Callithrix jacchus: one gene and its partners. The protein of the gene in region 4 purifies or fractionates together with the protein of the main gene of each other region. This does not show direct contact. Links are inferred from orthologs where the notes say so. Each region holds a gene or a part of one and is shown on either strand. Other genes may lie near its edges. The genes, in order: CITED1, SMARCA4, DDX5, EP300, SMAD1, SOX9 and STRAP.

Region 1 (4,003 bases), on a different chromosome or scaffold from region 4:
CCTGCTCCTTCTCTGAGGCAACCTTAGAAAAATATTTCAAAAGCGAGTGATCACCAGACAAGAAGCCTAACACATGTCGTCTTCAAGAGCCCTAGTACCATCAGTATCAGGCAATTTTCCTGTCCTAAGAAAAATGTCTGGGGGCCCTGTCCATGTTTTCCCAATGCTATCCAGCCTTTCCTCTCCTTTATGCCGCCTGGTACCCGAATGTACAAAAAGAATAAAAAATAACAGGAGTAGCAGCAACAACAGCAAAACCAAAAGGGAAGCATTAGGAAAAGAAAAAGAACGAGGAAAAACTATCTCTATTCTGCTGTCAGTTCGTGGGGGAAGACCATTTTACCGCATCTCTCCCTTCAGGCCGGGGGCTCCTCCAGAAGAGACCCTGCGTCCATTCAGATCTTTAGCCTTCCATTACTGACCAACCACCCACCCTGACCCCCAGCCTGAGTCTGTGCTTCACAGGCGCTCAGTAAGTTGTTGAATGCGTCTGAAGAGGCAATCGCATTTCGATCGGCATCCCTGGCTCTGCTTCCCCGGTTTTCTGTCCTCCGTCACCAACCTCTAGTCCGTTCGAGGGCAAAACTTGGTAACGTGGAAATGTCCCAGCCCGCTCTCCAAGCCGGGAGCTGACCACTGCAAAACGGGCTGCGAGAGGCGGCTGGGAAACCTAGAGCAACAAGTGCCTCCCCGCCGGCTGGTGCCTCGCGGCCCCCCGGCCACCAGTTCCCAGTCCCGCCGCCCGCTCTTCGCTTCAGGCATTCCCTTGGGCAGGCAGCCCCCTCCCGCCTAGACAGGGGTGGGAAGGGGAGAGGAAAACCAGAAGGGAGAGAGAGGCAGGTGGGGGCCTCATCTTTAACCTGTTGGGGGACCAAAAGTTAAAATGGCACCAACCGGATGGTTCCATCTCGATTGCTATTTTCTCACTCAGAAGGAGAAATTTAAAAATCCAAACAGCACTGCGGCTTGGCTTGGACGCGTTCTAACCAGACCAGTCAGTTTCGCCACCTGAAAACTAAAGGCCGGTTGTTTGCGGACAGCTCGGCTGCCCTCCTCGCCGCATCCCAGATGGAACCGCGGAACCGGGGGCAGCCGGGAGCATCCTGCACGGCGGGCGCGAGCACCCAGGCCACCGGGGCACTGAGCGTCCGTTCCCGCAAGTGCTGGATCAGGAACTGATCGAAGAGACAGGATGGACAGGCAGGAAGGGGCGCGGGGTGTCGGCCTCGGCGAGTCCGGGGGCCCGCTGCGTTTCCGCGAGCGGGGGCGCACTCCGGCGCCGGCAGCAGCCACTCCCGCGCCTCATCAACACTTAGCGCCTGCTGAGCATCCGACGCGGCCGCAGGCTGAGCCTACTCGCTAGCCAAGCCGCCTGCGGTCAGCGCTAAAATCCCGCTACAAGAAGAGTGAGAGAGGCTCGGAGAGGTGCAGTAACTTGCCCAAGGTCACAGCGCTAGAAAGTGGCGGAGCCGGGATTCGCAGCCAGGTCTCTCTGACTCCAAGTCCGGAGCTCTGCGAGGCAGGGACTCGGCGCGCGGCTCGGCCGCTCGCGTTTATAGGGAGAGGGGTGTGCGCGTGGGTGTGTGTGTGTGGGCGTGTGTCGGGGGAGGGGAGAGCTGAGGTCGACTGGGCAGCAGAGGCAAGTTGTCCAAATTCACTAACTTCCATCCCGCAATTAACGCTGAACTCGGCCCGAAAAGCCCCTTTTGCCTCCATTCCCCGAAGGAAACCTGAGCTTTGTGCAGCTCCGGAGCCGGAGCTTCCAGATGCGGTCCGGGCGATTAGGAAAGTCGGTGGAAGCCAAGCTGGAGAAAGCGCGGGCGCGGGGAGAAAAGGTTCTGCCGTCTCCCCGGGAGAAGCGGGCGCCTGGCCCGGCTGGCCGGCAGGCGGGCGGGCTGGCGAGCGAACCGGCGCGCTGGCTGGCGGGCGGCAGCAGCGGCCCCTCGCCCCCAGCAGAGTAGCTTTCCAACAGAAAACAAGTCTCCACAGAACCCTCCGGCCCGCCTGGCGGCCACCCGCTCCCCACACAGCTCCCCACACCCGCTACACGGGAGTCCTCGGCCCCGCCGCCCAGCACGGCGCCCAGCCCGGCGGCCCGGCTTACCTCTGCGAAGCCGCCTGCCCTGGAGAGAGGGAAGCGCGGAGCTCGGTGAGCCGCAGGAGAGGCGGCGGAGCCCCCAGCCCCTGGCACGCACGCCGCCACCGCCACCGCCGCCGCGAGCCGGTCGCGCTCAGAGCCCGCGGCCGCGCCGGTGGCCACCCGACCCCGAGGCGCCTGGGAAAAGCCCGCACCGCGCCGCGCAGCCGCTGCACCGCACAGTGCCACGCCAAGCAGCTCCGGCCTTAGCCGGTGCCCTCCCGCCCGCCCGCCCGCGGTTTCGGCGCCGGACTCCGGGGCGGTGGCGGTGGCGGTGTCGGCCACCGCGCTCCCTTCCCGGCGCGGGGGACCCGGCTCTCAAGCCCCCATTGCAGCCCGGAGAGCCCTGACGCACACGCACACGACAGCAGACTGGCCTTGGCTAGGAATCCCAGGAAGGACAGACCCTTTTTTTCCCTTTTTTTTTTTCTCCCCCCAATTTCCACGTCTTTATAACCGGCTTAGGGCATTATTAGCACATGTCCTGGCTCTTGGGCGAGTTGGTGGCAAAATCTGAACTGGATACTCACGGAGGGCCCGCGCGAGTGTTGTGCAGTCCTCTTCTTTCTCTGTCCTCACCGCGAACTGCCCCTCGCCGGCGGGCTACAGGAGGGCAGCCGGGCAGAGCGAGCTTCCTCTCGGCAGCTCAGCGGTGCCCCTTCTGCAGCTGTGCCGCCGGGAACATTTTTATAGCAGTGGCTGCCTTGTGTGGCCCTTTAAAGGCGCTCAAGCTGGTGCAGCCACCCCGGATCGTGTGAAAGCGAAGGGCCGGCTGGGGAACGGAGTCCACGCGGCCCCGCGGGTCCTGCAGCCCTGTGGACCGGCCACGGCTCCCGGGTTGGGGCTGGGGAGTCCTGGCTGTGGGCACCCCTCGCCCAGAGCCCTGGCCGGTGCCCGGCTTCTAAAGCTGTCGGGGGCCAGGGCCGGGGACACCGGCTCTCCCCACCGACCTGCGTGGACTTGCCCAATAAATTCCACTTAGTAATTTCACTGAGGCAAAGGAGAGCCGTTAGTGTCTGTTTTCTGACCTAAATCTAGCGGGGAGCCAAAGCGGGCTTCGGGGGTTTTGGGAGAGAGCTGTGGGCTCAAGGAGTGACCTGGAATAGAGGTCTAAGGCACACGGGACGGGGCATGGTCATTAGTTTTCTGCGGGGCTTTCTGCGGGGCTTTGTATCCTGTCTGCCTTTTGTGGTGGGGCAGGGGGTGGCTGTACTATCTCATTCGTTTAACAGCTGAGGCTGGGGGTTCCTTTTCCTCTTAAAGTTGCCAGATTCTGCGCAGAGTCGCATGGAGGGCCTAAAGGGCAGTGGTGGCTCTCCTCGAAGTCCTGAGCTGGGGTTGCGTTGGAGGGTTTCTGCTCTGTGGTCATCCAGAGCAGGAAGCTGGCAAGATGCGACGCGGAGAAATGCTACTCTCCCGGACCGTGGGGCTAGGTGCAGCTCAGGAGGCTCGCTGAAAAACCAACAGCCGGCAACAGGATACGAAGAGCTTGCACCAGAATTCGTGGAGATTCCTTCTGCCTTCCTACGATGCCAGGTTCTTTTACTATGATTATATAATCATTCGCGTCTAGCAAGAATAACATTTTGCATTTGGAGTTCGTCTTCCTTGGATAGAGATGTCTTACAAATCCTTACTGGAAAGAGGTCTGGGTCTTCTCCCTTATCTCAATTCGTGTTCTCTGTGGCCAAGAAATTCCCACCATACCTCTCACGGGAAGGTCATCAGGATTACCTATTACCGCCCCCTCGCCACCGCTGCACTTTTTCTGCTGCCTTTCAGCAACAACTACTCAGTTTACACTGTTTATAAAACCTGTTCTTTAAGAAAAGGTCCTGAGGTTAAAAAAAAAAAGCGGGGTGGCGG
Region 2 (3,403 bases), on a different chromosome or scaffold from region 4:
GCAGAGGTTGCAGTGAGCCGAGATCACGCCTCTACATTCTAGCCTGGGCGACACAGACTTCGTGTCAAAAAAGAAACAAAAAAGAAAACCTCAAATTATTTTCTGGATTTAGAAGCCCTTCCTGACCACCGGGCTTCCTGCGCTTTATGCCCTGAGCTTCCTGCAGAATGGGCCTGACCGAGAGCTCTATGTGACGTCTGCCCGTTTCTGTGAGGGTCTCCACAACCCAGCCCTGGCCACAGGCAGGGAAGGGACAGAGCCACCTGCTCCCCGCACCGTAGGACCCAGGTGAATGCATGCTGGAGAGCTGTGGCAGCAAAGGCCACCTGCATAGCCAGGCAAGTCCTCTCTCCCTGCCACGTCTTCAGGATCCTCCTCTGTGAAATGGGCCCCATGGGTTCTGGTGCTGGGAGGACGGGGACCTGGACATGAGGTGGCCCCGCCACTACTGCTGGCAGAAACCCGGGGAGCCAGGCATGAGTCCACCTGTAGGCTGTGCGTTTTGTTGTTGGTTTAATTTATTACTGATTGACATCCAGTGACACTGACATACCCCGGCGAGTCTGACCTGTCCAGTAAAATACAGTACGAGGAGTGGACGGTGACGCACATGCATCCACGCTGAACTACAGTGACTCCAAACTGCCGGGAAAGGAAAAGAAAAACAGGTATCGTGTGTTCCCCAATTCCGAATTCTCTCTCTCTCTCTGTTAGACAGTTAATGCTGTTACAAACGCTACTGATGCCAGGACAGGGCCAGTCACAAACAGTCCTACAGCTTCTCTGCCGTATAAATATGGAAGATTCTTTTGTTTATACAGTTTTATCCCAAGTCTGAAACTACGTCTGTTGCTACCCGTTACTGCTAAGGCCTATGCCATCTCGGCTCTGGAACGAGGGGCTCGGGGTCGAGACTGGAATGTCGGGGTTCAGTCTTCCTCACTGCCACTTCCTGAGCGGTCCTGGAGAGGAGACAGGAGAGAGTGAGTGTTAGCTGCCCCTGCCAGAGGCCTGCCAAGCATTAAATAAACTTGCTCAAGAAAAAAAAAACTGACGCTGGCCACAGAAGCTGCCGCAACCACGGCCACACCCCAACTTCATGTTTCTCTAGAGCAGCAGTCCCTGTGCCCACACTCACTCTCTTGGGACCCGTGAGGCTCCATGTGCCTTCCCTGCTCTGTCCCATGTCACTTGCCTGGCCTTGGGCCCCTGACCTACAGCTTCCAAAACATTTTGGCTCTTCCTGACTGCGAAAGATCTTTGCGCTTTCATGTAATTTTTTTTTTTTTTTTGAGACAGAGTGTAGTGGTGCGATCTTGGCTCATTACAACCTCCGCCTACTGGGTTCGAGCAATTGTCCTGCCTCAGCCTCCTGAGTAGCTGGGATTACAGGCGTGTGCCACCACACCTGGCTAATTTTTATATTTTTAGTAGAGACAGGTTTCACGATGTAGTTCAAGCTGGTTCTGAATTCCTGACCTTGTGATTCACCCGCCTTGGCCTCCCAAAGTGTTGGGATTACAAGCACGAGCCACCGTGCCCAGTCCTTTTATTTTTATTAAAAAAAAAAAAAAAAAAATTTTTTTTAAGACAGGGTCTTGCTCTGTTGCCCAGGCTGAAGTGCAGTGGTGCGATTATGGCTCTCTACAGCCTCTACCTCCCAGGCTCAAGTAATCCTCCTGCCTCAGCTTCCCAAAGTGCTGGGATTAACAGGTGTGAGCCACCAGGCCTGGCCTCATAAAGCCTTTTTTTTTTTTTGGAGACGGAGTTTTGCTGTTGTTACCTAGAATGGAGTGCAATGGCACAATCTCGGCTCGCCGCAACCTCTGCCTCCTGGGTTCAAGCAATTCTCCTGCCTCAGCCTCCCGAGTAGCTGGGACTACAGGTGTGCACCATCATGCTCAGCTAATTTTTGTATTTTTAGTAGAGACGGGGTTTCACCTTGTTGACCAGGATGGTCTCGATCTCTTGACCTTGTGATCCACCCGCCTCAGCCTCCCAAAGTGCTGGGATTATAGGCGTGAGCCACCATGCCCGGCCTCATAAAGCCTTTTTAAGCCTGGCATGGGCCATAAAACACGCTGTTCTGGGTTGGGCAAGAGAGATGCCACTACAGCCCAGACCCTCCTGTCTGACACACGGGCCTCCCTTCCCCATGAGGACTTCATGAATGTCCTCAAAGGTCACGTGCCTGTTTTGTCAGACTAATTCCCAGGCACAGACATTTCCTACTTCTGTAATGACCAAATGGCATTCATCAGGCTTTGGTGGGAGCCAGGCCTCGAGCGGGGGCAGCCCCCATAATCCACGCAGCCTCCTTGTTTGCTAAGAGGAAGCTGAAGCTTTCAGAAGCAGAGTGGCCTGCCAGGTCCCATAGCCAGGAAGGGCCAGAGACAAAGACGACGTATCTTATTTATAGCTAGCAAGGGGGCTAAGCGCAGTGGCTCACACCTGTAATCCCAGCACTTTAGGAGGCCGAGGCGGGTGGATCACAAGGTCAGGAGATCGAGACCATCCTGGCCAAACGGTGAAACACCATCTCTACTAAAATACAAAAAAATCATGGGGCGTGGTGGTATGTGCCTGTAGTCACAGCTACTTGGGGTGACAGCTGAGGCAGAAGAATCGCTTGAAGCCAGGAGGTACAGGTTGCAGTGAGCTGAAATGATGCCACTGCATACCAGCCTGGCAATAGAGTGAGACTCTGTCTCAAAAAAAGCCAGTAAATGTATCTGTTCAGGCTCCCCCACTGCCCCCCCAGAAACTTTCCACTGTGTGCCACTAAGGAGATGGGGCACTGCCTGGTGGGTCCTCAATCCTGGCACCTCCCACCTGACCCCAATCAACCCCTGGCCTGCCCAGCCTCACCCCAGACGCTGGTGCCCTAGGCCCACCTCCTGTCCATCCTGAGACCTCAGGTCCCCCAGTCCCCAGACATGCACAGGTATTGATAGCTGGTTTTAGGGTCACACAGGCCTGGGCTTAAGTGGCAGCTCTGCCACGTACTTGCTGTGTGACCACGGGCCAGCCATGGAACGTGAAGCCTCAGTTTCCCCATCTGCAGAGTGGGAGTATTGCCCCGTAGGGCCATCCCGTCAGGGCCCTGGGCTGCCTCCTGCTGCCCGCCAGCCCTGCCTGCCCCACCTGCCCCGCCTGCCCCGGGGCCCAGCCTCACCTCCTCTTGTTCCTCCTCACTGTCATCGTCACTTACGACCGGCTTGGCTCGGGACCCTCGGCTCGGCCGCCGCCGGCTGCCCTTCAGCCGGTCCTGTGCCTTCTCCTTCCGGCCAAGCTTGATCTTCACTTTGACAGATCGAGCTGGAGGGGACCAGAAGGAAAAGGGAGCTGTGAGCTCTGGGAACACAGCACCTCTACAGCAAGGGGCATCTGGGAGCTGGGAGGG
Region 3 (3,993 bases), on a different chromosome or scaffold from region 4:
TGTGCTACTCCAACCATATCCAATCCACTTAGAGCAACTGGCCATCCCTGAGCTTGAATAGCAGTAGGCTCAGTAAAGTTCTGTCTTGCAATAACATCCATGACATTTGCTATAGTGACAGATATTTAGTAAAAATTAGTAATGCCAAGTAAAAGGGAGTGGGTGGGAACAAAATCCCAGTGGTAGATAGAACTGAAAACTAGAATTACCAGGGAAATTGGCTTCATAAAAATTTAGAACTGGCTTCGGGCAGTTGTGACCTCTAACTGTAATCTCCTTGCTTCTTCTGTATGTTTCCACCTCTTGCTGCAAAACAAATTTTAACAGTCTTAAAGTTCATGGCAACCACCCCTAGCTAAATGTAACTGGTAAGCCCCTAAATTCGTAATTGAGTAAAGTAGCTTTCGTTTTTATCTGACCCATATATGAAAACACTATATGGCAAAAGAACAGTTTATTCCGTTCTCAACCTAATTAAGTTAAAAAAAAAATCCCAAAGCCACCTATTGAGTCACAACTTTCCCAATTATGAAGTCAGAAAACGTAACTACCAAAATTGAATCATTTGCAAAACACCTGTCAGATTTTCATTTACTAGAATCCATTACTGAGTTACAGCCTGATGAAGCCACATTAATTTACTCACTGCTGTGCGCCTAGACAAATCAGGGTGCTCTTGATAAAAATTCTTCTCAAATTTGGGCAGCTCATCAAGATTCCACTTCTTTTTAACTAGTTTCTCCCCAGGGTTTCCAAACTTCTTTCCAGATAAAGGCCCTCCCCTGCTTCCTCCAAATCGAGGTGCACCAAACCTGCAAAGAAAAAACGTTATTCACGTTTTCAAATATCTAAACACAGGTTTCTATACAGATTTGTTTACCATCCCTTGACACAAAGCTACAGATCACTGAAAAACGACCTTAAGAGGTTTAGTAAACAAAGCACTGTCCTTAACGATAGTCTTTCTCTTAGCCACAGTTAACATTTCTAGTAGTCCCAAGTACACACTTAGGCCATGTAAACAGCCCTGGATTTATCATGTCGGGAACTTGCGGCCCAGATGCCATAATTTCGGATACACACCACTTCTTGCGGTTACTATAATCTTCCCCACCAGTCTAGGAATTAAGTATCAGGGATAACAAGGATACACGAACCAAAGAGCATCCCAACGATGTTACTCATATGGCCGTTTTCAAGCCAAAGAGCTTTGGTGTTAAAGAATCGAGACAGCACAGACAGCGAGACCAAAACAAGGGTTTTCTCGCAAATACTTCTGCTAGCAAACCGAGCTGGGGGGACGCCGCGGTAGAGCTCCCGATCAACGAATAAAAATTATATAACGCAGGAAAAAAGAAAAGGAGGAGCCGGCGACTACCGGGGGAGGAGTCCCGGCCCGGGCGGAGCCGGCCGGGCGGCGTTCCCGCTGGGGCGGCGCTTCCCCCTTTGTCTCGCATTTCTCTCTGCGCCACATTTTCTCGACGCTGCCATTTTGAGCTCCTCCGCCGGGCGGGGTAACAAAGGCGCCGCCGCCATGTCCGAGGCCGGCATTTTGTACCCGCGACTCAGCCACATGGCTGATGCCGGCAATGCCGACCGCCCTCCTAACCCCCCCCAGCATCAGTGGCTTTAGAAGTGGTCCTAGAGCTCCCACAGAATGCCCGGCCACCCGAAAAACACCTCCTGAAAGGCAGAATCTAAGAGCTGCTACTTCGTCTTACTCGAAACGTCGTGCTTTCCAACGCACAATATGCTCCCTCTGAATTCCTCCAACAGCTACCAAATGGCAGCGGCCCCGACGACTTCCTAATCCCAACAAAAAGCGAGCTTGAGGGCACTACACCGATAAACCACTCCCAATCACTGTTACGTGATTATCAAAATGGCGCAAGTGTTCAAGAGACGAGGCCCCAGGAGAATCCGGAAAGGCCGAGTCCGAGCCCCAAAGCCCCCGCCGGCCGCCACCCTCACCTGCCGTCCCATCCCCCACCTGCTAGGCCTGACAGCTCGGCTTCCACACTCACCCTCGATCCCGGCCGCGGTCTCGGTCACTCGAATAACCCGACATGGCGTCAATGGTTGCGGTTGGCGGGGAACGAAGTACAGACAAAAGGGTGCGACGAGTCGCTGGAAATGGCCTCGACAACAGCGAAGCCTTGCGGGGGCGGCAGCGGAGGACGGACGGCGATGACACAATCCGGAGCTACAAGACCACAGACCGGTGAAAATGAATGAGGTGCCGGCCGCTTTCCGGCAGCCGCTTTTATAGTCTGGACCGCCTCCTACGCCGCAAGGAACGCTGGGATCCGCTCTATGACCTAATCGCCCCGCCCGTCGCGCAGAAGCCGCAACGGCAGCCGGCGCTCCAGGAGAGCCTCTCAGCTCAGGGCCCACCCACTATTGGAATGTCTCATTCTGCACTCTCTTGACCTTACCTTCTTCTCGTCTTTCCACACCTCAAGCAAGCCACCCCGCCCTTTCCCAGGCCCAGCCAGACGATAAAACAGCCTGCCCAGGCCAGCCAACCCTCCTCACTCGGAGATGTTTACGTCTCCAAAGGGCCCTCACGCCCGTAACCAAATGGCAGGCGGGGACTGGCGTGTCACGTGACTACCACCCCCGCCACCGGTCAGCGGGCCGCACTACTTCTCCGTTGACGTCGGCGGAGGGATACATAACGAAATAGTACCGGAAGTGCGCTCCCAAAGCCCCAGGACCCGCCTGGGCTGCCGACCCACGGATCTGACAATCATCTACCGGGTTCTGGCCAGCGGAGAATGGTCTCTAAACTCAGCAAACCGCCGCCCTGGCACGTGCTGTGAAAGGAAGTGCTGCTCTGTGACCAATCAGCGGCGAGCAGCCCCTTTGATGTCCCTCCCTCTTTCACGCCTCCTTCCCAGCGCTTGGGTTCGTTCGCCCTCATCCAAGCGTCGAATCTGTGTGGATCGGTCCTTCCAGGACACCGTAGCCTGCCTGGCCTGTAGGGGTCCGGCGGCAAACTGCCTCCAAAACATGGCCGGCTCGGAGGCTGGTGAGTGTCGGCCTGGGGTCACGGTTGGTGTGAACTGAGGCCGTCCAGCTTCAGGGAGGCCTTGGGCTGGCCCGGACTGGGTCTAGGCTGTCGGCGGGACTCGTGACTGTCAGACGCCGCGTCGCGGTGGCGGGTTCTCTGGATAGGGTCTCTCAGCTTTTCTCCTTCTCTGTGAGGCTGTGGAACAGTGATAGGCGGTAGGAGAGAGGCACTGGGGCGAGCCTGGTAGCACACTCGGGTCTTGGGTGCAAAAAGAGCAACCAGAAGGGTCGTTCCCGGACTTGTCCTTCTGTGGAGTTGTCTGGCCGCTGTCAGTGTGCCCTCCGCCCTTGTACTGTGGGTCCTGAGGTCTAATCTACTTTTGTATTGGTCTTTAAAGGAACAGCACCTTAAGATTTGTTGATGCCCATGTCGCAGAATACTGGTGCTTTTTTCTCTTCAGTGTTCTCTGAAGTCATGGGCTTTGTCTAGCAACGCTTTTGAAAAGCGAATTGGTTTGGTTGTCTAGGACGCTTTCATCCTTTTCGCCAGGACTGCATACAAACCAGTTCTCACGGTTTGGCCAACTGTGAGAAATGGGCGTGGGGAGGGGAATTATGTGCATGGAAGATACACTCATTTGTTTCCAGAACGTTATGTGTCCGGAATATAGTGGAGACGTTTGTGTCTAGTACCGAAGGAAAGTGCTTTCCTACCAATGCCAGGCATTTCAGGGAACAAGTATTTTATGCGAAGTTACTTTTGCTAGAGAAACCGTTAAACTTTGCAAGTCCCAGCAATATCTGGGAGAGGGGAGTCCGGAGCACAGGAAAGGTCAACAGTATTGATAATTCTGAGCTTAGGGATGTTTTCATATACTTCCCATATTTCCTTTCATTTAGATCAGTATAATAAAAAAGAAAAACTTAATAAATGCATTAGCGTTGATGTTGTCATTATACCAGTTCTTAATAGCCTAAGTT
Region 4 (3,500 bases):
AAATAAGAGTCCATGGGGCCAGGAACGGTGGCCCGTGTCTATAATCCCAGCACTTTGGCAGGCTGAGGTGGGCAGATCACTTTAAGGATAGTTTCAGCCTGGCCAACATGGTGAAACCTTGTCTCTACTAAAAAAACAAAAAAAATATATAGTTGGATGTGGTGGCACGCTAGTCTCAACTACTCAGTAGGCTGAGGCAAGAGAACTGTCTGAACTTGGGAGGCAGATGTTGCAGTGAGCTGAGATTGTGCCACTACACTCCAGCCTGGGAAACAGAGTGAGACTCCATCTCCAAAAAAAAAAAAAGAAAATAAATTATTAAATGAGACAATGTGGGTACTTAACACACGGAAGGTAAATGATAAATGCTATTATTATTCCTAGTCTTTCCTGTATTTTAGCCAAGGCTATTTACAAACATTTCTCTTTTGAGAAATAGAACTTTTTTTTTGAGATGAAGTCTCACTCTGTTGCTCAGGCTGGAGTGCAGTGGCACAATCTCGGCTCACTGCAACCTCCGCCTCCCAGGTTCAAATGATTCTCATGCGTCAGTCTCCTGCATAGCTGGGATTACAGGCACGTGCCACCACACCTGGCTAATTTTTGTATTTTTGGTAGAGACAGAGTTTCACCATGTTGGTCAGGCTGGTCTCCAACTCCTGACCTCAAAGTGATCCGCCCACCTCAGCCTCCCAAAGTGCTGGGATTACAGGTGTGAGTCACCGTGCCTGGCCAAAGAGAGAATTTTTAGAGGGTGCTAACCAAGGAACTCTGAAGAAATGAGGGGAATGACTAACTCAATGGTTGCTGCAAGTGAATATAACTTAAAAAAAAAAAAATACATTAGTAACAAGGAAGAGACCAGGCCCAGGGCTTCAAGGTTAATGAAATCACATTAATGGCAACTTCTGAGGCCCAAGAGGCATGATCACAATACCGCCTTGGGTCTTTGGTTTCTTCAGCTACTTCTAGAACCAACAGCCTAAGAGACTCAACTCTTTTTCTTTGACTGTCCCGGAGCTGGAGATGACTGGGTAGCTGAAGTACTTGGCTGGTCTTCCTCCTCTTTTATTTCAGTTTTTGAATCAGTGCCTCTCTCTTCTGTTTCTGTAGGTTCCACTTTACAGTCATCTACTTTAGACTAAAAGAAAAGGGTTTTTAGTATTTCAAAAATATCTACTTGGGAATCAATAAGATCACTATCATTCATTACATCATTTACTCTCCCCTATGGATGTAATCTCACCACCCTTTCTCATGCCATGAGATGTAATTATCAAAATATTCTTCCGCAGTATTTTTAAAAAATTGGGTTCCCAGACTGAGGTCCTAACCACATCAAATAGTAACTTCCCTACTCTCACCTCTGTAATATCCTCCGGCTGAGTATCTGCTGGTTCTGGTTGATCCACCTCCATTTTAGCCTCCATTTTCACTTCCTGGGAAGGTTGCTTCTCAGGAATGGCCTGAGAATTCACTTCTGTGCTACTAGTAGATGGAGGGTTTGATACCTGTCCTTCAGTGTTTACAGCTAGCTGGGAAAGCTAGGCAGAAAAAAAGGGGAGTGGGTGAGACACATACACACAGTTTGCCAGTGATACAATCTGAGTGTAAGGTAAGCAACAGGACAGCAGAATTAAACACCTATTTCTTGGCTTATATTCATTCACGGTGCCTTCATTTGGTCTGCTCATTTCACCTCCTTTAATTATGCTTAAGGACAGGAGAATTAAGACTCGTAAATGCTGGCTGGCTGGGTGTACATCCAACAGCCAGCAACTATTTCACTGATAACTATCGTTCTCTGGCCGTGTGGGGGTTTCAAAGATGTCTGCTTCATAGGAGCTCATATTTATACAAAAATGGGATGAAAGAAAATAACAAAACTGGCTATCTTTTTTGTTTTTACCTTCTCATTACATAAAGTTTCAAATGTACAGAAAAAGAGAATAAATATAATGATGTCCCACATAGTGGCTGTTTTCAATCACTAGATTCTAATGAGATAACTGGCAATCCCTATCTTCTTCCTAAGTCTTGTCATAAGAAACCTCTTAATGAGAAGTCAGTATTTTCTGAAACTACCCTTGATTTTATAAAGAATAAAATTAAACAAATCTACTGGTTCCTCTTTCTGTCCTTCCTTGTCTATCAGAGGCCACGATGAACCAGCCATCCATCAACTACAGTATTTTATAAAATGGCTGTGACACATGGGACTTCTCAGTTCAAACTGTTGAGAACTAATATATTACTATCGATATCAAAGTAGAAGCTGCTAAACCCTTAACAAAAAGAGTTCTATTAATAAGGACTCAACTATTATATGAGAATTTGGATTTTTATTATATACATAACCAACTTCTCACAAGTGAGCTACAGGTTGTTCTGGGTCTGTAATTCTCTCATCTTAGATGATTTTTTAATTTTGGATAGGGCCACAGGGACTCATAAATCTGCGATTTTTTTTTTTAAAGACAGAGTTTTGCTGTTGCTTAGGCTGGAGTGCAGTGGGTGCCATCTCAATTACTGCAACCTCCAACGCCTCCCAGGTTTAAGCAATTCTCCTGCCTTAGTCCCCCAAGCAGCTGGAATTAGAGGTACCCACTAACACATCTGGCTAAATTTTGTATTTTTTGTAGAGATGGGGTTTCACCATGTTGGCCAGGCTGGTCTTGAACTCCTGACCTCAAGTGATCTGTCCGTCGTGGCCTCCCAAAGTGCTGGGGTTACAGGTGTAACCCACCATGCCTGCCTGACTCTAGAATTTTAAAATTCAGTCTCTTAAGTTTTACAGCTCAAACTGTTTGAAAAAAATTCTTTAAATATGTGTCATATTTATATACTGCACTAAATGATATACTAAATAAGGAAGAGGACTGTGTCCCCTTGCCATACCTCTTTACATACCTTCAACCTTAGAGTACAACATGAAACATAATGGTCAAAGTCAGATAGAAATAAAATCTTTATGCTCCTGCTACTATAATAGGTCCTATCACAGCAAGGCACAACAGGGTAAGAAAGTCCCTAATGAAAAAGAGATTACATTCTACTTGTGGAGAAAACAGTAAGTGATAAAAGAGAATAACAGAAATGGCCCAGAAGTAATATAATACTACAGTGTAACTCTAATGATTCTGCCTAAATCCAAATCTCTACTTACTGGAGTTGCAGGCTGTGGAGGAAGCAGCGGTGCTGTTGGGGTAGGAACAGAGGCTGCTGTGCTCTGCTGTGAGCGAGGCTGCTGTTGGGACTGGTCAGCTGAAGGAGCAGCAGGAAGTGAAGACTGCACTTGTGGGGTAAGTTGTGTTGGTGGTGTAGGTGTCTGCCTTGGAGGGGGATGTAAAGCCTGGGACTGTGGCCCAGATGGAATGGCAGGAGGCGTAGGAACAGGGGCTGGAATTGCTGTTGCTGGTGGCTGCTGAGCCCCTATGCTTGGGGGAGTATGATGGGGGGTAGGGGTACGACTAGGTACAGGCGAGGGGGAATTCTGATGC
Region 5 (4,242 bases), on a different chromosome or scaffold from region 4:
AAAAAAATTACAGCTTTAAAATATCAGTTTATAGCTCCCCTCCCCGTTCAGGATCCAATCAAGGTCATATACTGCATTTCATTGTCATGCTTTTTTTTTTTTTAATAGCTTGAGGAAAATTCACATATCAAATGATTGACCCATTTAAAGTGTACAATTCAATGGCTTTTGGTATATCCACAGAACTGTGCAACCATCACCAGAAACTAATTTTAGAACAATTTTGTCACCCCATGACCTTTAGCTGTCACTCCCCAGGTTCCTCAATTCCTCAACCCTATGCAAACCAACAATCTACTTTCTGTCTCCATAGCCTTGCCTACTCTGAGCATTTCAGATATGTGGAAGAATACAATGTGTGGTCTTACTGTGTTATCTTCTTTCACTCCACATGTTTTGAAAGGTTATCCAGGTCACATGCATCAGTATCAGCACTTCATTCCTTTTTATGGCTGAATAATGTTCTCTTGTATGGGATATTTTGTACTGTTTATCAAGGGAGAGTTTTCAACAGGGGAGTGGCCTAATCTGAGTGGCATTTAAGAAGGTTCACTTTCCTGTTGTTCCAAGCAGCAGAGAATGACCAACTGCATCAAATGCTGCTTTTAGGGAAAATAGGATGAATTCCACGAATTGACCAGTAAGGGCGCAAATAGTTTAAGGAAAAAAGGAATTTACTATACATTGATATATGTTAATGATACACTGGATACACATGGCTGGGAGTGATGTTTTTTGCTTCATGTGAAATTTATTCCTCAAAAAATTATTCTTTTCTAAACGTCACTCAACGTTATGGTAATTATCCAAGATTTTATGCAGCTTCCAGAGAGTTGGCCAAGAGAAAAGTTGACTCTTGCAAGAAGATACTTTCAATGTCCATGCAGATCAGGTAGGTAAGAGTTAAGTTTGTTTTCGGGGTGTTGGCATCATCTAAAAGACTGTAGAAATTGGACCAAAATGTAGAGTTCTAAAGCAGTATCTCCTTGTGGCATGTTATTATTTGGAGCAACAAGGTTACCTACTCGAATCATTGTATCCTGAGTTGACACAAAACCCATCTGTTGACCCAGGGTTTGTATAAGCACGTGCAGTAGTTACTAGCTAACCACTTCTGGGTACGTTCAGCTTCTGGTGCCTGCAAATTATTGGAGAGTGAGTAAGGGACAACGAAAACTAGACATCAAAGGGCCAGTCTCGAAAGATAACTGTCAACATGCATTCCATATTTACAGAAGAGTTAATGAGCGTTTCAGAAAATAAACACATGGAGCATCGAAATTCACTTGCAGATAATGCACCAAGTCCACTCTACCGGGACTAAAGAAGGCAGGGTTAGGAAAGCCAGAACGCCGCCACGCTGTTTTTTCTCCAGGAATAAACGGAGCGTGGGGCTGGGGGTGGAAGGGGGTGACTCGGGCCGCTCCCCCTCGCCGTCCTCCAGCCCAGGCCGCGCTGCGCTCACGCCGGCCGGGCCGGGAATTTGGAGAGGATCCCTGGTCGCTCGGCAGCGGCGGCGGCGCGCGGGTGAGCGTGTGAGCGGGCGGGCGGGCAGGCGAGTGCGCCGGGCATTGGCAGCCGAGGAGTGGAGGCTGGGCGGCTCCGACTCCCTGACGCCAGCGCGACCAGATCAATCCAGGCTCCGGGAGAGAGCGGGCTGAAGGGCGGGCGGAGGAAGGAGAGGCCGAGCGGCTCAACCCGGGCCGAGGCGCGGGAGGGACCCTGGGAGCGGAGCGCGGCGCAGCACCAGGCCGGCCTGACCGGGGCCGCGGGACCCCGCTCTCCCGGCCACTCGTGCGCCCGCGCGGATGGGCGCGCCGCCAACCCGGTAAAACGAAACAGACCCGAACCCAACTTTCCCTTCATGCTGCGTCCACGCCTTCCCCTCGGCGCCCCGGGCTTTCCAGAGCTGACGCCTCTGTACGCGTGGGGCCGCCGCGGTCCTGCGGGGCCGGGGGCGCGGACGGCGGCGGGGAGGGGGCTCTTTCCGCGCGGGGCGGACCGCGACGCCCCCACCCCCCATGATGGCGCCTCCCGGCTGCTCTGAGGAGCGAACCTGCCACCGCGTCCTCTCCTCCTCGCGCCCAGCCCGCCAGGCTCCCCCGGCGTCTTTGTTGGGTCTTCTGCTGTGGGAAGCTGAGTTCCCGGCCCCCTCTAGCCTCGGCCCTCAGGCCTGACCGCGCCGGGACCTCCCCAGCCGCGCTCCCTCTCCGCGCGCTCCTCACATCTCTCCGGTGCTGCAGCCGGGCCGAGGCCAGTCCGCGCGGCCCCGGGCCCATTGTGTCCCCGCGCCGGCGGGGCGACCCCTGCGGGAGCTGGAGAACGGCCGCCGGCGCTGCCTTCCCAGGCGCCTGGAGGAACGGGTCTCGTGGGCGGGGGACCCTGGCGCCCCAGACCCCTCCACATCCCGCACGGGTTTCCTTCTCGGCCCTAGCGAGCCTCTTTGGGGTCGAGGTCAAGGAAAGTTCGCACCGAAATCCCCTCTAATTTATTCAAAGGTTTGGCCGCGGCGCGTAATTTTTTCCTCCTCTTCCGCCTACACCCGCTTCGTCTCCTGGTGTCTCATTCCTTTCCCTTGACCGCAGTCGATTGCCTCACTGCATGTGTATTCGTGAGTTCGCGTTGAACAACTGTTCCTTTACTCTGCTCCCCGTCTTTGTTAGTGTTTCTCGGGGTTGTTTCTGTAGGAAGGTGGGGGTGGTGGGCGTGAGAGACAGACGTGGGCTTGTTTTTCTAGTTGCTGAATCTGTAAGAAGGCTTTAAAGGGAGAACGTTTCCTTGATGATGTGCGTTAGGAGGGGAGGAGGAACAAATGCCTGCCAGATCTCACAACTACAGTAGCTGCGCTTTTGTTTATTTTGAAGCGCATGCAATTTTTAAATAGACGGTGCAAGACAACCAGTAAAGACGCGTTTCTGAAAATTGAGACCGATCTCAGAACCATCTCCTGGGAAAGCATCATTTTCGTGAGTGCCGAGACAACTGTCCTTTTTCTACGTCCCCCCCCCCCCCGCCCGCTCCCCAGTCTTTCTCTCCTTTCCACTGCATCTGAAGTTTCAAAGTACGTGGAATGATACAGAAGTTGCATTTCTGTTGTGTCTTCCTGTTGCTGGAACTCTCAGCTGCTAAATCTCAGAATGCCTTTATTTCAATAAGAACATCTTTGGCTCTAATTGCCTGTTGCGGGTAACTTGCCCACATTTCAGTAACACAGTGAGAAAACTGTTCCCTGCCCATGTTGATTTTTCATCTTGTTTGTAATTAAATTGTATTGAAGGTAGGTGAGCTGTATTAAAAAAGAATCGGGACAGAACCAGTGTTTACTGCCCCAGCATTTTCAATTGGTATAAATATTGTTGCATCAGTGTTATTCTGATGTAGGTGCCAGATCTAAATATGCTGTACTGATTAAAATGTTTGTTCTGCCCTCTCCCACTCTCCCATTTTCAGTTATTTGATATTTCTGTGCAGGTGGTGTATCATTGGTGGTGTAATACTGCAATTCTTAGTAAAGTTTAACTAGGGTTGTGAAAGATGATTTTTCTGGAGGTGGGTGATGCCAGAGGCTCTAGAGGATCCAGGAAGGATCGGGTTTCTTCTGAGGGTAGGGATTTGTCCTTGATTTAGTTTTGACCCCTGCAACCATAGGTATGTAACCAAATACATTTTTCCTCTTGCTGTATCCTTTGGTTTCATATCCTTGAAGAGCTGATGATCTTTGTGTTTTAGAGAAATGACAGTTTTTAGGCAATTAAAAAAACATTGACCTCTAAGACTTCTTGGAATTTAATTTTATTTCTACTAAGTTTAGTAAGGCAGTAAGATGAAGTAAGTCACATTTTCTCAACTGCATTTGTTACATTTATTAGTTAAAAACTAAATTTCACTTTGTAATTTCGATTTCTAGCAATTCTGGGTTAAAGATAAAATCTAATAACTTAGTAGATTGAAAATAAGAAGTAACTTGGGTGTAATTAGACAAACATGTTTAAGCTGCAGTAGCCTCCATAATCAAGGCCAAGTGTGTGTGTATAACAGATCTCATTTGTGTAGTCTTACAAAGCTAATGGAAGCATCACTGAGGCTTTATAAATAATGTAAGTTGTGTATAATGTAGAGTCTCCAGAGACTGCAGAGAAAGCATCATTACCAGGCTTTTCAACCTGCTTGAGATCTTAAATTGATTTACAGCACTGAACTAGTGCAAAATGATACATCAGGATGACATGGGGTCAGCCTGTA
Region 6 (4,039 bases), on a different chromosome or scaffold from region 4:
AGCATTTCGTGTAAGCACAAAGGTTGTGCTCAAATCACACTTAAAATACATCAGAGACACTACCAATGCCTCCCCCAGAACTCCCAACTGCATGAAGGTCTCAACCGCCCGGACTAGAGTCAGAAGCGCAGGCACTTCACCCCTTCAGGTGTTTAGTAAATGCCAGGAAAAGCAGGCAAGCACCACGACTCCGCCAAAGTGGAGCGTTTTGTCTGCGGTGGTGCCCATCTGTTTTTTGGCCTTTTACAAACCAAGTGACCGGCCCGGGCCTCGCGGCTCCGGACGGCCGCACTGGCAAACTTCGATCTCTCAAAGCCAGAGCAGTCTGCACATTCTCCCCAGACAGGGGGGACTCGGCTGACGTTTTTGACTCGGCCAGGAAGCAAAGACCAAAACGTCAGCGCAGTAGCCCCGTTACTAAGGAGCGTCGGCGGGGTCGGGGGGTAGAGGGGGCCGGAGGAGGACTTGTCAGAGTTCAAGGTCGGTGTGGCGCGGGGCGGCCCCGAGAGCACTGGGCTCCTGCGGCATCGCCAAGGCCGCCGCTTCCAGCCTTCTTGGGGACTTAGCGCTTCTTTCCATTGACTCCCTTTGCAAAAGCTCAGCCGAAACCTGACCAGCCGCACCAGCCCCGGCGAACCTGAGCATGTTAATCTATTTATATGGATTATTTCGGAGGAACAGCGGGCGTTGAGTCACCAAAACATTTGCTTCAAAAGACTATTTCTAAGCACTTTTGCAGGCAGGCAGGCAGGCTCCAGGCGCGCAAACTCGGCTACGCATTAAGGATCGGCTGCCTTTCGAATACTGCAAACTCCAGCTAAGTTCCCGGTGCCGCGGAGAGAGCAGTGAAAAGAAATGTCGGATCTACTGGGGATAGATCCCAGTCTAGACACACACACTTGCACACACGCACACCCAAAGATTCGCGCAGAGAAGGCACTAAAACTCTGGCATTCCGAGAGTACGACAAACTTACACACTTGAAGTCCCGGGTCCCCCGCCTTCCCCGCAGCATCCCCCCCCCCAGCCCCCACTACCCCACCATCCACCCTTTGGCTGCGCTCCCCTCCCCTCTCCTCCCCTCCCGTCTCGTCACCCAGCCCAGTGCCACAATCCTTCTCCCTCCTCCAAAATCGGGTCCAATCAGCTTCCTGCCAACCCTGGGACTGCCGCGCTGTGATTGGCCGAAGTCTCTAAGGTGAGGCGGGTATTTATTGAGGAGACCCTGGGCTGGGAGTTGGAGAGCCGAGAGCGGAGCTCGAAACTGACTGGAAACTTTAGTGGCGCGGAGACTCGCCAGTTTCAACCCCGGAAACTTCTTTGCAGGAGGAGAAGAAAAGGGGTGCAAGTGCCCTACTTTTGCTCTTTTTCCTCCCCTCCTCCTCTCCAATTCGCTTTCCCCCACTTGGAGCGGGCAGCTGCGGACTGGCCACCCCGCGCCCTCCTAAGTGCCCGCCGCCGCAGCCGGCCGACGTGCCAGCCTCCCTGGGAGTTGCTCGCTCCGCGTCCGGGCAGCCTAGGGGAGAGGAGCCCGCGCCTCGAGTCCCCGAGCCGCTGCGGCTTCTCGCCTTTCCCAGCCACCCGCCCCCTGCCCCGGGCCCGCGTATGAATCTCCTGGACCCCTTCATGAAGATGACCGACGAGCAGGAGAAGGGCCTGTCCGGCGCCCCCAGCCCCACCATGTCCGAGGACTCCGCGGGCTCGCCCTGCCCATCGGGCTCCGGCTCCGACACCGAGAACACGCGGCCCCAGGAGAACACGTTCCCCAAGGGTGAGCCCGACCTGAAGAAGGAGAGCGAGGAGGACAAGTTCCCTGTGTGCATCCGCGAGGCGGTCAGCCAGGTGCTCAAGGGCTACGACTGGACGCTGGTGCCCATGCCGGTGCGCGTCAATGGCTCCAGCAAGAACAAGCCGCACGTCAAGCGGCCCATGAACGCCTTCATGGTGTGGGCGCAGGCGGCGCGCAGGAAGCTCGCGGACCAGTACCCGCACTTGCACAACGCCGAGCTCAGCAAGACGCTGGGCAAGCTCTGGAGGTACGGGTGCCTGGTGGGGGTGGCGCGGCAGGGTGGGCATCGCGGCTGCGGGGGTGCTGGCCCGGGCTGGCTTTTCCCGCCCCGCCTCCTAGCGCCCAGGAGTTGCCATTCCGGGAGCCGACTGGATCGGGCTGGGAGTAGGAACGGGGTGTAACTGGGGCTCAGAGTTTGACAAAGTTCTGGCTTTGCTCTCGGGGACGAGGAGGAGGGGGTGGTAAGTGGAAGGGGAGGAGGAGGTAGCCGGAGGATGGGCGAAGGCTGGTGGGAGACTGGGAGATGGAAGGAGGGGCTGCCAGCCTGCTCTATGGTCGCCTGGAAGCTCAATCGGGGCGGGGGTGGGGGGAGTGAAGTTTGCCTCCCCCCACCCCGCCCCTTAAAACTGCACTCTGTCTTGCAGTCCCCTACACCCATGGAGGGGGCAGGGGAGAAACTGAGGTTGGAGGAGACCCTTGGCAGGAATTGTGAGGGGGAGGAGGGAGGCTGCTTGAAATAGGTGGGAGTATGGGGGGGTGAGAATTGGGGAGTTTCTTACAGCTTAATTTGGGGGAATGTTTTTAGAAGGTGTTGGGTTGGGGGCGATAACTCCAGCAGCAAAGGCGTTTAGGGGGCAGCAGCAGGAGTTGTTTTCATCTCCAGCGTTTCCAAAATAGAAATAGAAGGGAAGGGGCGGGAGGGGGCGGGGAGTGACCGCTCAGGTCGGACTGCAAGAACTTATTTATTTATTTTTTTTTTTTAAGAAAAGTTATGAGCTGTGGTTGGAGGGAGGAGGGAAGATGGGGTTGCCGGCAAAGGAAGCCGAGTGGTCCTGATCGCCGCCTGCTCCCCAGGGACCTGACAGTTCGGCGGGTTTCACTGACCCCCCTCCCTCGTTTTCTCTATGCCCCCCGCCCCGCCCCGCGCAGACTTCTGAACGAGAGCGAGAAGCGGCCCTTCGTGGAGGAGGCGGAGCGGCTGCGCGTGCAGCACAAGAAGGACCATCCGGATTACAAGTACCAGCCCCGGCGGAGGAAGTCGGTGAAGAACGGGCAGGCGGAGGCCGAGGAGGCCACGGAGCAGACGCACATCTCCCCCAACGCCATCTTCAAGGCGCTGCAGGCCGACTCGCCGCACTCCTCCTCTGGCATGAGCGAGGTGCACTCCCCCGGCGAGCACTCGGGTGAGTCGCCCCTCGGCCCCGCGGGACACACCACCCCCTGCCCTCTACCTGGGAGATTCTTCGTAGAGACTTGACGCTTCTCGGGAGGGACACGCCACCCTTTGCGCCTGTCCCACTTCCCTCTCCACCCAGAGCCTAAGAGGCACCCAGACAGACACAGGCGCGCGTACACACACACAAACACACCCCTCAATCCCAGCATCCGAAGAGATTCGTGTTTTGTTTTTTCTTTATTGGGAGGTAAAATGCCCTTACAGCCCTACAAGACCTCCCCCTTTCTTCCCTTTGCACCCCACCCCAAAAGCACACACAGGGCTCTTCTACAAGTAGCAATTTGGTCTTCCGGACCCTCCAGGCCCCAGACCCTCACCTGATAAAAGGGGGCTGTCCAGTGTGTACTGGCGGGTTAATCATTGGGCGACTTATCTCCTGTGCAGCGCGCCTCCCGCGCGGGTGCGGGCCCTTATTGCCCTGTCGCAGCGAGGGAGGGTGCCTGAGACCAGGGCGTCTGCGCAGCCCGTGTTGACTTTCCCGTGCTTGTTCTTTTATCGTCCGCAGGTCAATCCCAGGGCCCGCCGACCCCACCCACCACCCCCAAAACCGACGTGCAGCCGGGCAAGGCTGACCTGAAGCGAGAGGGGCGCCCCCTACCCGAGGGGGGCAGACAGCCCCCCATCGACTTCCGCGACGTGGACATCGGCGAGCTGAGCAGCGACGTCATCTCCAACATAGAGACCTTCGACGTCAACGAGTTTGACCAGTACCTGCCGCCCAATGGCCACCCGGGGGTGCCGGCCACGCACGGCCAGGTCACCTACACGGGCAGCTATGGCATCAGCAGCACCGC
Region 7 (4,129 bases), on a different chromosome or scaffold from region 4:
GTTTCAAAAATAATAAATGAAATAAATAAATAATAAATAATAAATAACCAATAATACTTGTACTCTCCAGCCTCTTAAGTCTAATAAATCTGTGTATGTACAACAGCTCTTGATATTGCCTTCATCAGTTTAAACAATCAAGTGTCAAATTCCTAAGTTACAAATACCAGGTAGGAACTGGAAATAACAAGATTTATAAAACATTATACATTCCCAAAAAGGCAAAGAGGGCCACTGCCAGTCAGTTTAGTAACATCATTAACAGTCAAAAGTCAGCACAGGTAAGGTATATTCTGGCAACAGTAAGTGTAGTATAATTAGATTGTAGGGTTTATGGTGTGCAGGGCCAGAAGATGATGCTGAAGAACTAGGATGAAGCGAACTGTAAAGTGTCAACAACTGAAGTGTCCTTCAGGTCCGTGCTTCTAAGGCTGCACACAGGAAAGAAAGGCAAGAAAAAAAACCACCACTGATCAGTATGATCAGTACTCCATCCTCAGACCAATCAAACCAGAAGGTCTGTGCCAGGCATGGCAGTTCACCCCGTAACCCCAGTTCTTTGAGAGGCTGAGGCATGGAGGCCAAGAGTTTTAAGACAGCCTGGGAAACACAGCTAGTGTCTATACAGTAAAAAGCATTAAAAAGTATTTTTACATGTAGCAAAAAGTATATATATAGAGAGAGAGTAAAAACCCAAAAAAAATTTTAAATCCGAGTTTCTGGGACACATACATTTGAATATTTGAAAAGCTCTCCTGGTATTCTAATGTATATCAAAGGTCACAAAATACTAAAATGGCAAAGGGAAGACAGGAAAATCATTAGGCAGAGAAGTGACATGATCAAACATGTTTTTAGGAAAACAACTGACAACAATATGGAATATGAAGAGGAGGAAAAGAAACTACTGGAAGAAAGTTAAAAATGATTGTGAACTAAGGCAGCAGCAGATACTACATGGAGGAACACTGTAATCAGGAGACATCCCAGTGGCAGAATCAAAAAAAGATGATGATAATCTAGATGTAAGGGAAAATCAAGAATGTTTTACATTTCAACCTTCAAAAACTTAGGAAATGAAGAGAAGTTGAGTTTTTTTGTTTTTGTTTGTTTGACACAATGAGTGTTAGTGATGCCTAAAGCAAGCTAACAAAAACTGGGATTGAGATAAAAACCTAAGGCCACCCATGTAGGATTTCACTAAGGAGTACACACAGAGCAGCATTCGTAAAGGAGATCAATATTCATCATCTGGAGTGTTTGTTCATGCAGGCTCCTGAGTCTTAATCAAAACATAAGGAATAAGTCATTTAAGCCTCTGAAAATTTTGAGAACCACTGAAAACAAGCACACAGGACCACAGTGGAATTTTGGTGAGCTCAAACATCTGGCATTCTACATAGCAGCCAGTGATTCAGAATTCTATGAATATCTGAGGTTGAACTTTTTCATTATTTCTGGACACAATCTACAGAGAACACCGACGTTAGCCATCTTGGCTACACTTACGCTGTGAAATCCGCAGCTGCTGTAGCTGCTTTGCTGGCATCCTTATTCAGTGTTGCACCCCAAACAGCACCTTTATGACCCAAAAACGTTCCAATCCAGTCTCCTGTATCTCCCTGGCGTAGCATAGGTTTACCATCTAGAAAATATTTTTTAAGACATGTGATTTAAAGTTCAGATTAAAGTCTAAGATGCAAATGTAAATATACAATGATGTTCAATGACAAAGTGGAAAAATCGTTTCAACTATTTAACCGCCCATTGAAGTCACCAAGGAACGTCCAGAAATAAATTAACTGAGAGCCGAACAGACCATTCTCTCTGAAAAGCATCTGTAATTCGGTGGGAATGCTGATCTGCGTCAAAACAATCTAGATTTGACTCTTAATTTGGACAAACACCTTAGCCTAAATCTCAGTTTCCCATCTGAAAAATAAGGCTAATGCCACAAAGGAATATCCAGTGAGACAAGAGCGAACGTCTTTGTTAAGTATTTCACGGCCTGGCCTAATTTCTCCTTTCCCCAAATCCTTGAAAGCTATTTACAACGTTGTCCCGAGAGTGCAGGCAAGTGCTGTCCAGCTCCTCCAAAAATAGCAATAAAAAGAAAACAACGAGAGGGGTCTTAGTTGGAGGTAACAGTCTCTACAAAAGCGTCCAGAGGTCTCTCGGCTCCAGTTGCGGATTCTCGAACACATTGCTTTCTCCACCGGACTTCCAGTGCTGGCCCTCACTTCGGAGGTTAATAGCGTTCCCTCCCCGCCCCCGCCAACCCCGCGCTTCGGCACTGGAGCGTGCGGGTCCCAATCCCTTTCAGCCCAGTCCCAGCGATCGGGGACAAGGATCAGAGGCCTTGCTCACCTTTGCAAGCGCTGATTAAGAAATACCCATAAGGCGTGATGCCACTGAAGGCCAAATCAACTACGGGCCGCGTGTGGCCAGAGCAGGTGAGCGGCGTCTGTCTCATTGCCATGGCGGCGGCGAGTGCGGCTACCGGACTGGAGAGCCGAGGGTCGTCGTTGTCTTTTTCTCTCGTCTGCTGCAGCGCCTCCGGCTCCTCCAGGCCCCCGCCCTGACACTGGGGCTGGGCTGGGAGACAGGAAAAGGAGGGCAATCCGGTGGCACGGAGGTTAGGAAGGGGTGAGGGTGGGGTCCGGGAGTCTGCGACGGGCGAGCGACCGTCGACGAGGGAGGGAAAGGGAGGGAGGGAGGAAAGTAGGGGACGGGGAGAAGCGGAGAACCGACCCAGCCACGATTCACAGCGTCCACACCGGCATCGACAGGAAGTGACGACGTAAATAATGCGCAGCACCCGCCGGAAGTGACGATTGGCGGGCGGGCCGACTCGCGGGGTAGAAGTGACTGGAAGAAGCAGCGAGAAGTACAGGGAGGTGCAGGAGCCGGTTGAGTTCTTATCGGACCGCTAGCACCGGCCCGCGCCGGCTACGGCAGGCGCCTAGAGGCGCTCTAGGCAGCGGGTAGGGTCCCTCGCCCCGAGCTCTAGCGGGTCAGAACGCCTTCCCCGCTCGCGGCCGAGTTAAAAGCCGTTCCCACTCCCATAAGCCCATGGGCCAGCGGCTGCTCTGTGCCCGCCGAGCAGCCCCGCTGAGGACTGTCCCCGGCATCTGATCATCTAGACGGACACTGGAGCCGTTCCCACCGACGGCCCAAACTAGCGAACACTGTCTAGCAACATTTTTTGCAATTTGTCTTATGTAAAGACTGCATACGGGCTTGACGTGGTGCCACCTGTGGTCCCACCTACCTGGGAGGCTGGGGTGAGAGGATTACTGGAGCCCGAGCGGTCGGCCACTGCACTCCGGCCTCAGCAACAGGGCGAGACCCTATCTTAAAAAACAAATTCCCCAGCCATCTCCTGCTGTGTCAATTTTGTGTTGCTAGTGTTGTAGGCGTCGATACTATGTGCTTTTAAACGCGGTTCAAATTCAAGTTACTTTTTCCTTGGTTGACTAGGGTGAATAGGGAAGGACCACCAGGTAGGGGCAGGGCTAGGTGTGTCTGAGCTCAGACTCTATTTGGGCAGCCTTGTTGCGGGTGCTGTGGGGAATGGGCGTGAGATTCCCAGGCTACTGGGATTGTGTATACAGGAGAATTATGGCTGCCTCTGCTGAATCATGCAGGTTGTCAGGGAAGTAGGAGAAAGCCCCCAGTCACAGGCCTCATTCAGATCCCATGCAAAGCAAAGGGCTGGTCTCATTCCCACTGTGACCCTGCAACAGCCCGGAGTCTGTTTCCAGGTGGAGGGTGAGACAGGCTTGAAAATTTGCCTGATGCTATCTACCTCCCAGCTGCAAAAGAAAAGGGCTTTAGTTCTTCCCCTGCCTGTGTAGTGTGCAAGCCAGATTCGCACAGTCCCCCAAGTTCTGGCCAGGCTTCTTGCCCAGTTCACATTGTTACAAAGTTCAGCTACAGATTCCTTCTTCCTGTGGAGTTTTGCCATCTGCTCCCCTGGCCACTCTTCCAATGGATCCCTGTGGTCCCAGGCAGGAATGGGCCGCTTGGGGACCCAGTGAGCTCCCAAGGCCTTTCCGCTGCTTCCTCTACCCCGTATTTCACTCGGCTCTCTAACTTGACTCAGCTCCAGGTAAAGTCAGAAACTTCT

Evidence for each region.
Region 1: the proteins of EP300 (region 4) and CITED1 purify together in Homo sapiens (affinity purification with western blotting; 3 studies listed by BioGRID and IntAct, with this or other methods). This does not show direct contact. The link is inferred for Callithrix jacchus from reciprocal best matches to the Homo sapiens genes EP300 and CITED1.
Region 2: the proteins of EP300 (region 4) and SMARCA4 purify together in Homo sapiens (affinity purification with western blotting; 4 studies listed by BioGRID, with this or other methods). This does not show direct contact. The link is inferred for Callithrix jacchus from reciprocal best matches to the Homo sapiens genes EP300 and SMARCA4.
Region 3: the proteins of EP300 (region 4) and DDX5 purify together in Homo sapiens (affinity purification with western blotting; 5 studies listed by BioGRID and IntAct, with this or other methods). This does not show direct contact. The link is inferred for Callithrix jacchus from reciprocal best matches to the Homo sapiens genes EP300 and DDX5.
Region 5: the proteins of EP300 (region 4) and SMAD1 purify together in Homo sapiens (affinity purification with western blotting; 5 studies listed by BioGRID). This does not show direct contact. The link is inferred for Callithrix jacchus from reciprocal best matches to the Homo sapiens genes EP300 and SMAD1.
Region 6: the proteins of EP300 (region 4) and SOX9 purify together in Homo sapiens (affinity purification with western blotting; 3 studies listed by BioGRID). This does not show direct contact. The link is inferred for Callithrix jacchus from reciprocal best matches to the Homo sapiens genes EP300 and SOX9.
Region 7: the proteins of EP300 (region 4) and STRAP purify together in Homo sapiens (affinity purification with mass spectrometry; 3 studies listed by BioGRID, with this or other methods). This does not show direct contact. The link is inferred for Callithrix jacchus from reciprocal best matches to the Homo sapiens genes EP300 and STRAP.

Annotation. Positions count from the first base shown.
Region 1 is NC_133524.1:69,534,786-69,538,788, forward strand, and holds the start of CITED1 (cbp/p300-interacting transactivator 1), read right to left. Parts: upstream 2,801-4,003; 5' UTR 2,668-2,800; intron 2,615-2,667; exon of another isoform or gene 2,124-2,614; 5' UTR 2,105-2,123; intron 1,896-2,104; 5' UTR 1,731-1,895; intron 1,530-1,730; exon of another isoform or gene 1,440-1,529; intron 1,016-1,439; 5' UTR 908-1,015; coding exon 895-907; exon of another isoform or gene 1-894. UniProt on the Homo sapiens protein: Transcriptional coactivator of the p300/CBP-mediated transcription complex. Enhances SMAD-mediated transcription by strengthening the functional link between the DNA-binding SMAD transcription factors and the p300/CBP transcription coactivator complex.
Region 2 is NC_133523.1:10,214,749-10,218,151, reverse strand, and holds the end of SMARCA4 (SWI/SNF-related matrix-associated actin-dependent regulator of chromatin subfamily A member 4), read right to left. Parts: intron 3,319-3,403; coding exon 3,176-3,318; intron 1,051-3,175; exon of another isoform or gene 963-1,050; coding exon 930-962; 3' UTR 501-929; downstream 1-500. UniProt on the Homo sapiens protein: ATPase involved in transcriptional activation and repression of select genes by chromatin remodeling (alteration of DNA-nucleosome topology).
Region 3 is NC_133506.1:89,766,629-89,770,621, forward strand, and holds the start of DDX5 (putative ATP-dependent RNA helicase DDX5), read right to left. Parts: upstream 2,801-3,993; 5' UTR 2,690-2,800; intron 2,597-2,689; exon of another isoform or gene 2,436-2,596; intron 2,239-2,435; exon of another isoform or gene 2,204-2,238; 5' UTR 2,069-2,203; coding exon 2,025-2,068; intron 813-2,024; coding exon 647-812; intron 307-646; coding exon 210-306; intron 110-209; coding exon 1-109. Other genes in the region: CEP95 (centrosomal protein of 95 kDa), read left to right, coding at 3,013-3,031. UniProt on the Homo sapiens protein: Involved in the alternative regulation of pre-mRNA splicing; its RNA helicase activity is necessary for increasing tau exon 10 inclusion and occurs in a RBM4-dependent manner. Binds to the tau pre-mRNA in the stem-loop region downstream of exon 10.
Region 4 is NC_133502.1:191,955,154-191,958,653, reverse strand, and holds part of EP300 (histone acetyltransferase p300), read right to left. Parts: coding exon 3,167-3,500; intron 1,545-3,166; coding exon 1,365-1,544; intron 1,142-1,364; coding exon 997-1,141; intron 1-996. UniProt on the Homo sapiens protein: Functions as a histone acetyltransferase and regulates transcription via chromatin remodeling. Acetylates all four core histones in nucleosomes. Histone acetylation gives an epigenetic tag for transcriptional activation.
Region 5 is NC_133504.1:51,521,875-51,526,116, reverse strand, and holds the start of SMAD1 (mothers against decapentaplegic homolog 1), read left to right. Parts: upstream 1-1,442; 5' UTR 1,443-1,527; intron 1,528-1,627; exon of another isoform or gene 1,628-2,966; intron 2,967-4,242. UniProt on the Homo sapiens protein: Transcriptional modulator that plays a role in various cellular processes, including embryonic development, cell differentiation, and tissue homeostasis.
Region 6 is NC_133506.1:128,133,516-128,137,554, forward strand, and holds the start of SOX9 (transcription factor SOX-9), read left to right. Parts: upstream 1-1,239; 5' UTR 1,240-1,605; coding exon 1,606-2,036; intron 2,037-2,938; coding exon 2,939-3,192; intron 3,193-3,750; coding exon 3,751-4,039. UniProt on the Homo sapiens protein: Transcription factor that plays a key role in chondrocytes differentiation and skeletal development.
Region 7 is NC_133510.1:7,425,223-7,429,351, forward strand, and holds the start of STRAP (serine-threonine kinase receptor-associated protein), read right to left. Parts: upstream 2,801-4,129; 5' UTR 2,480-2,800; coding exon 2,368-2,479; intron 1,646-2,367; coding exon 1,510-1,645; intron 1-1,509. UniProt on the Homo sapiens protein: The SMN complex catalyzes the assembly of small nuclear ribonucleoproteins (snRNPs), the building blocks of the spliceosome, and thereby plays an important role in the splicing of cellular pre-mRNAs.